Sus scrofa: one gene and its partner. The protein of the gene in region 1 interacts with the protein of each later gene in a pairwise test. Links are inferred from orthologs where the notes say so. Each region holds a gene or a part of one and is shown on either strand. Other genes may lie near its edges.

Region 1 (5,100 bases):
TCTTCAAAAAGGAGGCGAGTCTTCTCTCCCCGGGGGTCTAGAGGGCCAAGGAGGACGCAGAGAGGAGGGAAATGCATAGGACTTGCATTCTTGGTTTTACGGAAAATTTCCACCTGTCTGATTTTGATGAAGCCACTCAGCTTCAGTTTCCGTTTCTGTAGAATGAAGTTAACACTCCGTTGGGGTTGATGCGAGGGTCCAGTGAGGTCCAGGAGGTGATAGTTCTTTGTAAACTGTGAAGCGAACCCCTGTCATTTTTGGAAAGCTAGGTTTTTCTGTCCACCAAGTGTAGGGTTCAGCTGTTTCCTTCTCTCTAGCCTACCCATCTGAAGCCTGGACTTTAGTTAATGCTCTGTGACTGACCTCTCCATCACACCATGCCCGTTTTTTTTCTCTGCTCTGAAACCTTCACCATCAAGCAGCCTTCCCTGCTTTCTTGAGTTAGATTACCACCTTATCTTCTGCCCCCAGGGCACCATGGCAGAATCTCACTTGTCCTCAGCACTGACCTGTCAAGTTCCTCTGGTAAACTGCAGGCTTTCTCTGCCTCCATTGCGACCAGATAGGATGAATGAATAGCAGGTGGTGAAGTAGATCCGTGTGGCCCTCAGAAACCTGGGTTTTGGAGTCAAAGTGATCAGAATTCAAATTTGAGCTCTGCTGTCATTCATGGGGTGAACTTGCTTTGGACAAGTCATGTAACTTTGCTGATCCCTTCCTATTATCCCAATAGAATAAGAATGGTGATCATCAGGATTAAGTAAGATAGTGTGTGTAAATTGTCAGAATTAAATTATGTGATGAACGTTGAGTACTGAGCTTAGAGCCTGGCACACAATAGGTGCTTAATAATGGAGGCTTTTGTTACCATCCCATCCTAGTCAAGCCGCCCTCCATCTCTGCTAGAGCAGAGAAGGCATGGACTCTGCACTTTATTGCTCCTTTGCTGAAGAGTCAGTGACCTGAAGCATGGTCTTTTGCCTGTTTGTCTTCTGCACCCCAATGTCAGGGAATTAGAGGAGAAAGCATGAGAATTTTGCATGAAGCTTTACCTGATTTGAATGGAAGACTGGAGACTGAGGAATTGCTTTACCCTCCACCCCTGTCTCTCCCCAGGCCTTAGGGGCCCCACTCCTCTCCTCTCAGCAGCTGGTTACAGTTTCAGTGCCTGTTCTGTGTGTGTGTTCAGAGAGTTCCAGGGAGGAGCCTGCAGGGGGGAGTGAGAGGTGGACCCCCTGCTTCATGTTTCTTGTAGTACGGCTGTAAGAACTGTGGCCGGGCGTTCTGTTCCGGCTGCCTTAGCTTCAGTGCAGTGGTGCCCCGGGCTGGAAACACGCAACAGAAAGTCTGCAAGCAGTGCCATGAGGTCCTGACCAGGTGAGAAACCAACACAGGTGAGGGTTCAGCCAAGCATGGAAGCAGGCAGCTGGCAAGGCCTTGCAGCCTCATGCTCCGTGTCTAGAGGTCAGCCCAGGAAGTGTTTGGGGTGGGGGGCACTGATAGGCAGATGGCAGGTGGCTTCTGACACCAGATTTCTTCTCTATAGAGGATCTTCTCCTGCCAATGCCTCCAAGTGGTCACCACCTCAGAACTATAAGAAGTAAGTGCTAAAGGGACAGAGACAAATGGGGGTGGGGAAAGGACAAGGGAGCTCTAGGGTAGGACTCTCTTCTCAGCCTCTAGATCAAATGAGCACAGGGTCAGGAAAATATGTATCTCTCAGGCTCCTGACTGCCCTTTTGGGTGCAGAAAGCAGCTCCTCAGTCCTTTCTCCACAAAACGTTCCTAATAGACCTCGCCTTCTCAGCTAGACCCTCCTGCTCATTGGCTGGGTTAGGGTGCAGGGTGCCATGAGCGAGGGCCACAGAAGAATGTCCACTGAAGGCCTCCTTATCTGCCTAGAAATGATTTGAGTGGGAAGCAGTGAGTGGGTGCCTTCCTGCCTCCCTTCTGCATTCTTCAAGAGGCTCTATCTTGGAGTTCCCATTGTGCCTCAGCAGTAATGAACCCAACCAGTATCCATGAGGACTCGGGTTTGATCCCTGGCCTTGCTCAGTGGGTTAAGGATCCAGCGTTGCCGTGAGCTGTGGTATAGGTCACAGTCATGGCTTGGATCCCGTGTGGCTGTGGCTGTGGCTGTGGTCGGCATCTGTAGCTCTGATTTGACCCCTAGCCTGGGGACTTCCATATGCCAAAGGTGCAGCCCTAAAAAGAAAAAAAGAAAAAAAAAAAAAAGAGCCTTTATCTCATATCCTGCCAGGCGTGTGGCAGCCTTGGAAGCCAAGCAGAAGCCCAGCACTCCCCAGAGCCATGGACTGACCCAGCAAGACCAAGTCATTGCTGAGCGCCTAGCACGGCTCCGCCGGGAGAACAAGCCCAGTGAGTAGGGGACAGACATCATCCGGGGCTCCTGGGACTCGTATTCCTCTGGATCTTACAAGGCTCCCCTATGCTAATTGCAGAGTCAGTGCCCTCTCAGGCAGAGATAGAAGCGAGGCTAGCTGCACTGAGGGATGAACCCCAGGGTTCCATCCCTGCCACCCGGGAGATGGAAGCACGGCTTGCTGCACTGCAGGATAGAGTTCCATCTTCTCAGACCCCTCAGTGGGTGAGTGCTGTGGCTTTGGAGGATAGAGATCCTGCAACAGGACCCAGCAGAAGCCCTGATGCAAGTATATTATATATTTTGCAGGAGTACCTTGTGCTCCTCAGGCCTGCTGCCAGGCCAGGGAACCAGGGATGAGCAGCAGGATTGCACAGAGCACAATCCTGTCTTGCTGGGGACTGCCAGACCTACTTGATTACATGGCCTCTGGATTAGTCCCCTTACCCTGAGCTTTGCGAATTACTCAGCATCCACCCCTGACCCAAACTGCTTTGAACTTTATGGTGTGGCTTTTCCCCTACCCTGCTCCCCACTAAGTCTCCCTCTTCTGAGCAGACACATCAGCCACCAGACACTAGGACCCAGGCCCAGCAGGCACAGGATCTGCTGACACAGTTAGCAGCGGAGGTGGCTATTGATGAGCACCGGGAACGAGGAAGCCCAGGTATTTTCTCCACCCGGCTCCCCCAGGGACCTGCCCCTCACTCTCCTCAGGTTGGGGGAGGCTCTGCTGCCCACCCTCTGGGAGATGAATATAAATCAGAGCATAGGAGATCCTGTTGTGGCTCAGCAGGTTAAGAACCTGACTAGTATCCGTGAGGGTAGCAAAGGTGGGACTTGAACTCAAAGCTGTCTGCTTTCAAACCTCTTGCTCTGAAACTCTGAGCTAAAGGGGACCATGTCAGAACCACACCCACTCATAAAATTCTTACCATCTAGTGACATACAAGGCCTCAGCTTCCTTCATGTCATTTCTGATTCCAACCAGTAAGGGAGAGAGACTGGCTGGACCTTGGCCTCCCCAATCCTGCTCCTTTCAGGCAGTGATTCTCATTACCATGGGGCAACCCACCCTAAGGGCAGGATGTTAAAATATCATGTGGGTGAAAATAGGTGTAATTTTTTTTTACTGTCTAAGATGACTGGTTTTTTACATTTGGGAAAATGGAGGAAATACTCATGTGCAATATAGACCACAGGAGCTACTGCTAAACAAAAAGCTGATGACCTATGGGCTCAGTGGTTTTGATGGGAGATCTTGAAATGTCTGCCCACCTGCTTCACTCTTTCCAGCTGCCTCTACCCAGAATGACCTCAACCAGGGGGGCCCAAGGGCCCAGAGTGCCAGTTCTGAGGGGCAAGCCACCGGGTCCCTGGAGGAGGAGAAGAGCAGGCTTCTGGCTGAGGCAGCAGTCGAACTTCGGGAGGAGAACACAAGGCAGGAGCGGATCTTGGCCCTTGCCAAGCGCCTGGCTGTGCTTCGAGGAGAGGACCCAGATAAAGGTAGAGGCTGGGGAGTGGCTCACTCTTGTCCAGTGGGCAGGCCCTCAACTCCCACCCCCAGGCCAAGCTCTGCCCAGTGGCTGCTGTACTCCCTGCCAGACTGGGTCAGGGGCTGGGGGGCCCTGTGCTCAGGAGTCTGTCGAGCTTTGTCCAGAGCCATGAAGAAGGTGCTGAGGCGATGCAGTGGATGAGGAACAAGTGGCAGCTATCAGGGGGCAGGGGACCCTGGGTCCCTTCAGGTGCAGATCCCCAGCCTGGCAGTGTGGCACAGGGTCTGACCAGAGTGACTGCAGAGGCTACTCAGCTCTGGAACAGATGCCACTGGAAACCAGATTACTGGGGGCAGGAGCACAGCCACTCAGGTGAGCTCTCAGCCTCATTCCTCCTCCCCTGCTCCCGTCTCACCCTCTTCAAGTGACCCTCCAGGACTATCACCTTCCGGACAGTGATGATGAAGAGGATGAGGAGACAGCCATCCAGAGAGTCCTGCGGCAGGTTGGCCCCACCTTATCCCCCTGACCACCCTCGTCCTGTTCCTGCCCCACTGCTCCAGCACCCACCTGGCCCCATTCACCCCGCCTCTTCTCTGGGGTTCAATGGGCAGTCACTCTGCAGTGCCTGTTCTAGCTGGGACTGCTCTGCCCCTCTGACCCAGCCCCGCCCCCCCTAGCCCCTTGAGGTGGAGTGTCAGCAGCCATAGGCAGCAGATGAAGGAAGGTGGGCTGAGAGCTAAGCCACAGAACACAAAAATACTGGGTGTTGGGGGCATGCCTGAGCAGGGAGCTGTACCTCTTCACTCTGTCCACAGCTCACTGAAGAAGCTGCCCTGGATGAGGCAAGTGGCTTTAACATCCCTGCAGAGCCAAATCTCCAACCCCAAGCCCAATCCAGCAGGGTAGAGCCTAAGGTGAGAAAAGCTCCAGACACAAACCCCCCCAGGCCACCATCACAGCTTCCCCTCCCCGGACCCCATCAGGTACCTTACATCCTCCATTCCTCTCTGGTCCCAAAGGCCCAGGCCATGGCCCCCAGGCCTGAGGCTGAGGAAGAGGAGCTCCCCTGGTGCTGTATCTGTAATGAGGATGCCACGCTGCGCTGTGCTGGCTGTGATGGAGACCTCTATTGTGTTCGCTGCTTCCGGTAGGTACAGGTGGAATTCCTGTGGGGCCAGGAATGTTCCAAGGCCTCCTTTGACCCCTGACCTGTATCTC
Region 2 (6,237 bases), about 28 Mb from region 1:
AACTTTTTTAGGGGTTGCCATTGTAGCTCAGCAGGTTAAGAACCTGGCTAGTATCCATGAAGATGCAGATTCCATCCCTGGCCTCCCTCAGTGGGATAAAAGATACAGCATTGCCAGAGGCTGCGGTGTAGGTCGCAGATGCAGCTCTGAAGACATTGCTGCAGCTCTGATTCAACCCCTAGCCTGGGAACTTCCATATGCTGCAGGTGTGGCCCTAAAAAAAAAAAAGACAAAAAATAAAAAATTTTAAAAAACGGTTATTTTAAATTAGTTATGAATCATAAAACAGCACTGAAATTACATTTAACATTTAATTTATTTTGTACTTATATTTGAAGAAGGAGTTTTTGTTGGGAAAGACAGAAATAATAAACCTTCCAAAATCTCAAACTTTCAAAATTCCTCAGTTATCAAAAATAGAGTTATTAAGAGAATTTGGGGGTGGTTTATTTTTGGTCTCTACAATTATTACCACTTAGTAAGTATTAGAGGGAAAAAAAAGCTTTAGTTGCGGGTAACTGATTTTAATTTATTTTCTCCCTAGGATCATATAAGTAATTTATTGTAGGGAATTTCAGATATAGAAAAGCATCAAGAAAAAAGCCAAGCAAAATCTATCCCATCACCCAGAGATAATTATATTTTTGTCGTATATCCTTCTGTTTATTTTCAGAAGTAAACATTTGTAACAAAACGTAAAATAATACTACATTGAAAGTTTCTCCGTGACACAATGGGTTAAGGATCTGGTGTTGCCACAGCAAGGTGTAGGTCACAGATGCGGTACAGCTTCATTCCCTGGCCTGGGAATTTTCATATGCTTTGGATGCAGCCCCCCCCCCCCCAAAAAAATAGTGCATATCCAGATTTCCTGATCATGGTCTAAATTTTAACATTTACTTAATTTGTTAAAAATAAGTATTTCGTATTGCTGTTTTTTCCAGGTTCGTGGACCTTCACGAGCTGATCCTAACCACATAGTAGATGATCTGCTAACACCCTGTTCTCCAGGTGACCCTGGTGCCATTGAAATGACATGGATGGATATCCCTGGGGATAAACTTTTGGAGCCAGTTGTTTGCATGGTTTGTCATTTTGATTTAAGAAAAATTTTAGGAGTTCCCATCGTGGCGCAGTGGTTAACGAATCCGACTAGGAACCATGAGGTTGCGGGTTCGGTCCCTGCCCTTGCTCAGTGGGTTAAGGACCCGGCGTTGCCGTGAGCTGTGGTGTAGGTTGCAGACGCGGCTCGGATCCCGCGTTGCTGTGGCTCTGGCGTAGGCTGGTGGCTACAGCTCCGATTCAACCCCTAGCCTGGGAACCTCCATATGCCGCGGGAGCGGCCCAAGAAATAGCAGAAAGACAAAAAAAAAAAAAAAAAAAAAAAAAAAAAGAAAAATTTTAAAACGTATTTTATAATTTGTCAGACAGATAAAATTTTCTGTTATGTAAAATCAGCTAGAAGATGTTAATATGATCAGGCATGGAGTTCCCGTCGTGGCAGAGTGGAAACGAACCCGACTAGGAACCATGAGATTGCGGATTCAATCCCTGGCCTTGTTCAGTGGGTTAAGGATCCGGCATTGCCATGAGCTGTGGTGTAGGTCACAGATACGGCGCGGATCCTGAGTTGCTCTTGCTGTGGTGTAGGCCAGAGGCTACAGCTCCAATTGGACCCCTAGCCTGGGAACCTCCATGTGTCAAGAGTGCAGCCCTAAAAAGCAAAAAAAAAAAAAGAAAAGAAAAATGATCAGACATGTTTATTTAATACTAACTGCTTAAAAAGTTGTGAAGATTAATGTGAATGTAAATATGAATTTGAGAAATTAAAATATTCATAAAAATTACATTTATATAATTTCTATTGGAGGAATTAAAATAATTCATGAGACTATTATTTTGTAAGGTGTATCAATTTTAAGGAATGTTTATTATGCTTATGTTTTCTTATTGATGAACACTCAGTTTTTAAAATCTTCTGCTTTATAGATTTTCAAATCTGTATATCAAAATTAATAGTAACTTCCAAAGGGGAAGCTTTCACAGGATATGTAGACCATGTAGATCTAAGTATATAGACATGTATGTGTATATGTATGTATATAAGTTTGTGTGTAGTAATATATCCATAAACATAGATATATTTATGTGTTAATTTACCACAATACTTACCTGAAAAATTATCCAGAAATCCTTTTTTGTTTCAGTCCTTGATTTATTGTTTTAAAGTTTTGTTTTGTTTTGTTTTCCATTTGCCATACTATTTTTTTTATAGGAGAAATGGCCTAGAAGTTAATTTTTAAATGAATCCTTGACATTAGTATGTTTTCTTACCATTTTAATTGTAATTTTAATAGTTAACATTTTTGATTAGTTAGTTTTGATTATGGGATTATTTTGTTTCATATACGTATAAGTGAATGACTATATTCCTTCTGAGTTGTACTTGGACAGCTGCCCTCTTGTTTAAGAAAAAACAGATATGGCCAAAAAAGTGATCAGGGACTTACTGTGGAGGCCTTGATCCTCAGGGTAAGAGGACTGTACTTTCTTTAGGGCACTGAGGAGCCTTTGAAGGTTGTGATGAGAGCAAAGGAATAACATAGTTAAAGATGTTCTTTAGGAGAGCAAGAGTTTATCATCAGTAGCTTATGGCACATCACAGATATCCTTAGGTGAAAGTTAGTGATGCAGTGTTTATTTGATAAATCTATTACTAATCTTCCCCACTTCTTTTTCCTGACAGTCGGATATGCTCCGGTCACTATCAAGCACAAAACCCACAGTCAATGAACACGACTTGTTGAAATTAAAGAAGTTTACGGAAGATTTTGGCCAAGAAGGCTAAACCAAAGACCGCAAGGAAGAAATTTACCATGTGTGTTTCTTTCTTTCATGGGTATTTTTGCCCTTCTTGGATGGCGTTCAGATTTTTTCCTGTAAAACTCTTTTACCACAGGGAAATAGAGATCTTACTTCAGAGTTCCTTTAAGGTTTATATATACTTTTGCTCCATTATCAGTTAAATTCTCCTGTTAACAAAAATTATAAAATAACGGGTTATAAGAAAATGAGTAGTAACTAAAAAAAAGAAGAGTGAGTGATACATAAAAAGCAAAAAGAAAAAGAAAAAGAAATTACCCAGTAAAAAGATTTAAAATTGAGATGCAAATATTTTAAATTGTTATGAATAGTGGTCTTTGCAAAGAGCATTCATTTTTTTTAAACTAAAATGAAATGAGGCTTATTTCATATTTTGAAAAAAATCTTAAGCATCCTTCTCATCAATGTAAAATTAACTTTATTAAAAAGTTAAAAATGATTTACTCTCAGGGATGGTCAGTAAAACAGCAAAGAGCACTGTGATTGGGCTCGAAAGATTTTAAATTGCGTTCTTCCCACGGCTTTTATTGATTTTTGATAGATTGGTGTTTTTCTCCATGTAGATTTAAGTTTCTATAAAAGCAGCAGGCTTTTTTATACTTAACTAAATAATACCTTTCACTGTGCAGTCTCAAGAGAAAGACTCTCTAGACATTGTCTTTATCTTGAAGAAGAAAATTGTCTACTTCAGTGTCTTTTTGTAGCAAGAGTGACCAAAACAGGTGGTTAATAAATACGTACTTTTAAAATAACTCTGTCGTGAAATACTGTAATGGGAACCTTTGCTAAAAGGAACAAGCTCCCTTTGGATTATGGGAAGTTACTTGTGTGTGATTGGGGTGGGGGGGCGGGTGTACATATATATATATAATTTTTTTTTAAATATCGAATAGCTAGCATCTTGTCTTTTACCTTTTAAGGTCAGGGAACATCTTGCCCTGGACACACATACATTATCAATGTAATGTTTCATAAAGCTTTAGAAATGAGCTGATGTCTCCTTAAATAATAAACTACAAACATGACATTGTTATTTTAATATCTTCAAGTAAATAATCTGAGGGTGTGTGTTATACACGTTAGCACCAACACTAAGTTGTGCCTTGTACATTTGCATTGGCTGTACATGCAAAGGATTATTAAGTCAACTAGATAAGGTAGATTCCTTAATTTACCATAAAGTTCTGCCTTGTTGATGCTATAGGATAACTTGCATTTTAAAGTATATTTGCACATTTTACATATGATGCTCTATAGTTGCCTTTGGGTTTTCTGTACAGTTGGTGTTTGTTGATATTAAATGGAAATCATAGACCTGAAATACACTGTTCTACGTGAAGTAAATTGATATAACCTACTGTTGGCTATATTCTGTGTATGCTTCTTTATTTTGGGATCTTCTCTGCAGGAGAAAATATTATCTAAACTGATTAGATACAAATAAATCACTAAAAATCAAGAATATATACATGAAAATTCTGATTTTCAGCAACCTTTATGTGAGAATTGGGAATTAACTTGGCAGATCAACACCAAATCCTTTGTGGATGTCTTAAATTTTATATATTTTTATTTTATCAGCCTCAGAATCATGCAGTATTGCTATTAATCCTATCATTAGGAGAATTAACATAATTACATTATAATTATATAGTGGTTGAAATCCAGAATTTTTCAAGAATCCAAAATTTGTTTTGAGGAAGTATTTTACTTAAATTGACCAAATAGTGTGTAAGTGCTGTGCTGATGATAAGTGTATGCTTTATCACACTAAATTCTTACATGTGCTCTGAGAACTATGCCTCAGTGTCCATATCACTTCTAGCCATAGCTTCATTTTCTACATTTCTGGTTTTAAAACTGTTTCTGGTATCTAGTGATTTTAGACTTATTCTAGAATGGTAAAGCATGGGCCATTTCCATGTGCCCTTTCTGGGCAGAGAAATACTCCAAGGAAAATGAACGTTCAGGCTCTGTCTGTCTGGACCCCGACCATTATGATTTGGGGGTAAATGTTTTCTGAGCCAGCAAGTAAACCCTACTTGAACATCTCTATAAGGTATGCCCTGGAAGTTTCAGAAAATTTTTGGTCCTAGTATGAAAACTATAGAGACCTTAATTATAAAGTATTTTAGTAGAAAATTTTGGCTTTGAGTGTACTGTCATCAACATGCAGAAAGATGGAATGAGTGTATTTGATTATGAATATGAAGTGCCATTTAGCCACTTGCACGTGCATAGGTAGGAAGTGGTGAAACACCTCCCTTACGCATTGTCAGGAGCACTGCAGATGGAGTGCCCAGCTTTGTGAGCTCTCACAGGGGCTGTGGGTTTCCTCTCTCCTTTCTTCTTTCCTCTGCTAGTCGAGATCCCATTATTTGCATTAAGACCTAGCTCATGACCCATATAGTCTCTTCCAGGAAGAATTCCTAAACTGTCCCCATCCTGCCTTTGCATTTCTTTAGCACTAAGTTACTATGACTCTCTTAAGATTCTCCAGGTTTCAAGCATGTTCTGTTAATTTTGTTTAGATTGTTTAGATTGTGAGCTCTTCAAACAGTTACATTTCCCTTTGCATTAGCATAGTGCTAGATGCTGTTTATTAGGTACTTAATAAAGACTTGAAAAATTAAGGGAATTATATCCATATTTTATCCACTTCCTAGATTATCTGTAAAACTTTTTATAAAATAGATAATTTGATTTGTTCTGGTTAGTCTAGCAAAGTTGTGGTAAGTTTCAGTCTTGGTTATTGGGAACTAAAATCAGAGGTGTGCCAGAGCTCACTCATACTGGCTCAAAAGAACCAGTATGAGTGAGTTTTACATATTTGTACCCACCTGTTCAGTCACCTCGTTGGCTTGCAATCTGCCATGTTGGGAGAGATTTACGCCACAGAAACTAGCAAGTTTCTATTTAGTTTACATGGTGCAGTGCAAAGCAAGGGCTGTCTGTAGTTTTAAATTGGAAAAGTAATATTATTTACCACATTTACAGAAGTAAAGGAGAAAAGTTATTGCAGAGTCATAAAAAGCATTTAATAAAATCTAGCACCCATTTGTAATTTTCCTTTTTAACTTGACAAACCAGGAATTGAAGGGAGCTTCTTAATTTAATAAAGAGCATTTTCCCAAAAAACTCTAGCAAATATCATACCAATTGTAAATTATTGAAAACCTGACTTCCCAGAGATGAGGAAAAAGACAAAGGTGCCTGCTGTCACCACCCCTTTTCAAGGTTTTGTGAAGGAAATTCTAGCCAGTGTAAGAAAAATAAAAGTTTAGTGGTTAAAAAGGCACAAACAAAATTGTCATTCTCAGGTGACATTTGTGTATGTAGAAAATCCAAATTAAT

The links. The genes of interacting proteins can lie anywhere in the genome.
Region 2: the proteins of ZFYVE19 (region 1) and VPS4B interact in binary tests that used the Homo sapiens proteins (3 or more experiments, as listed by UniProt). The two-hybrid records come from large-scale screens. The link is inferred for Sus scrofa from reciprocal best matches to the Homo sapiens genes ZFYVE19 and VPS4B.

What each region holds. Positions count from the first base shown.
Region 1 is NC_010443.5:130,511,325-130,516,424, reverse strand, and holds part of ZFYVE19 (abscission/NoCut checkpoint regulator), read left to right. Parts: coding exon 1-14; intron 15-1,255; coding exon 1,256-1,377; intron 1,378-1,546; coding exon 1,547-1,600; intron 1,601-2,260; coding exon 2,261-2,379; intron 2,380-2,462; coding exon 2,463-2,608; intron 2,609-2,941; coding exon 2,942-3,050; intron 3,051-3,679; coding exon 3,680-3,889; intron 3,890-4,304; coding exon 4,305-4,384; intron 4,385-4,697; coding exon 4,698-4,796; intron 4,797-4,901; coding exon 4,902-5,029; intron 5,030-5,100. UniProt on the Homo sapiens protein: Key regulator of abscission step in cytokinesis: part of the cytokinesis checkpoint, a process required to delay abscission to prevent both premature resolution of intercellular chromosome bridges and accumulation of DNA damage.
Region 2 is NC_010443.5:158,266,442-158,272,678, forward strand, and holds part of VPS4B (vacuolar protein sorting-associated protein 4B), read left to right. Parts: intron 1-944; coding exon 945-1,085; intron 1,086-2,746; coding exon 2,747-2,848; 3' UTR 2,849-6,237.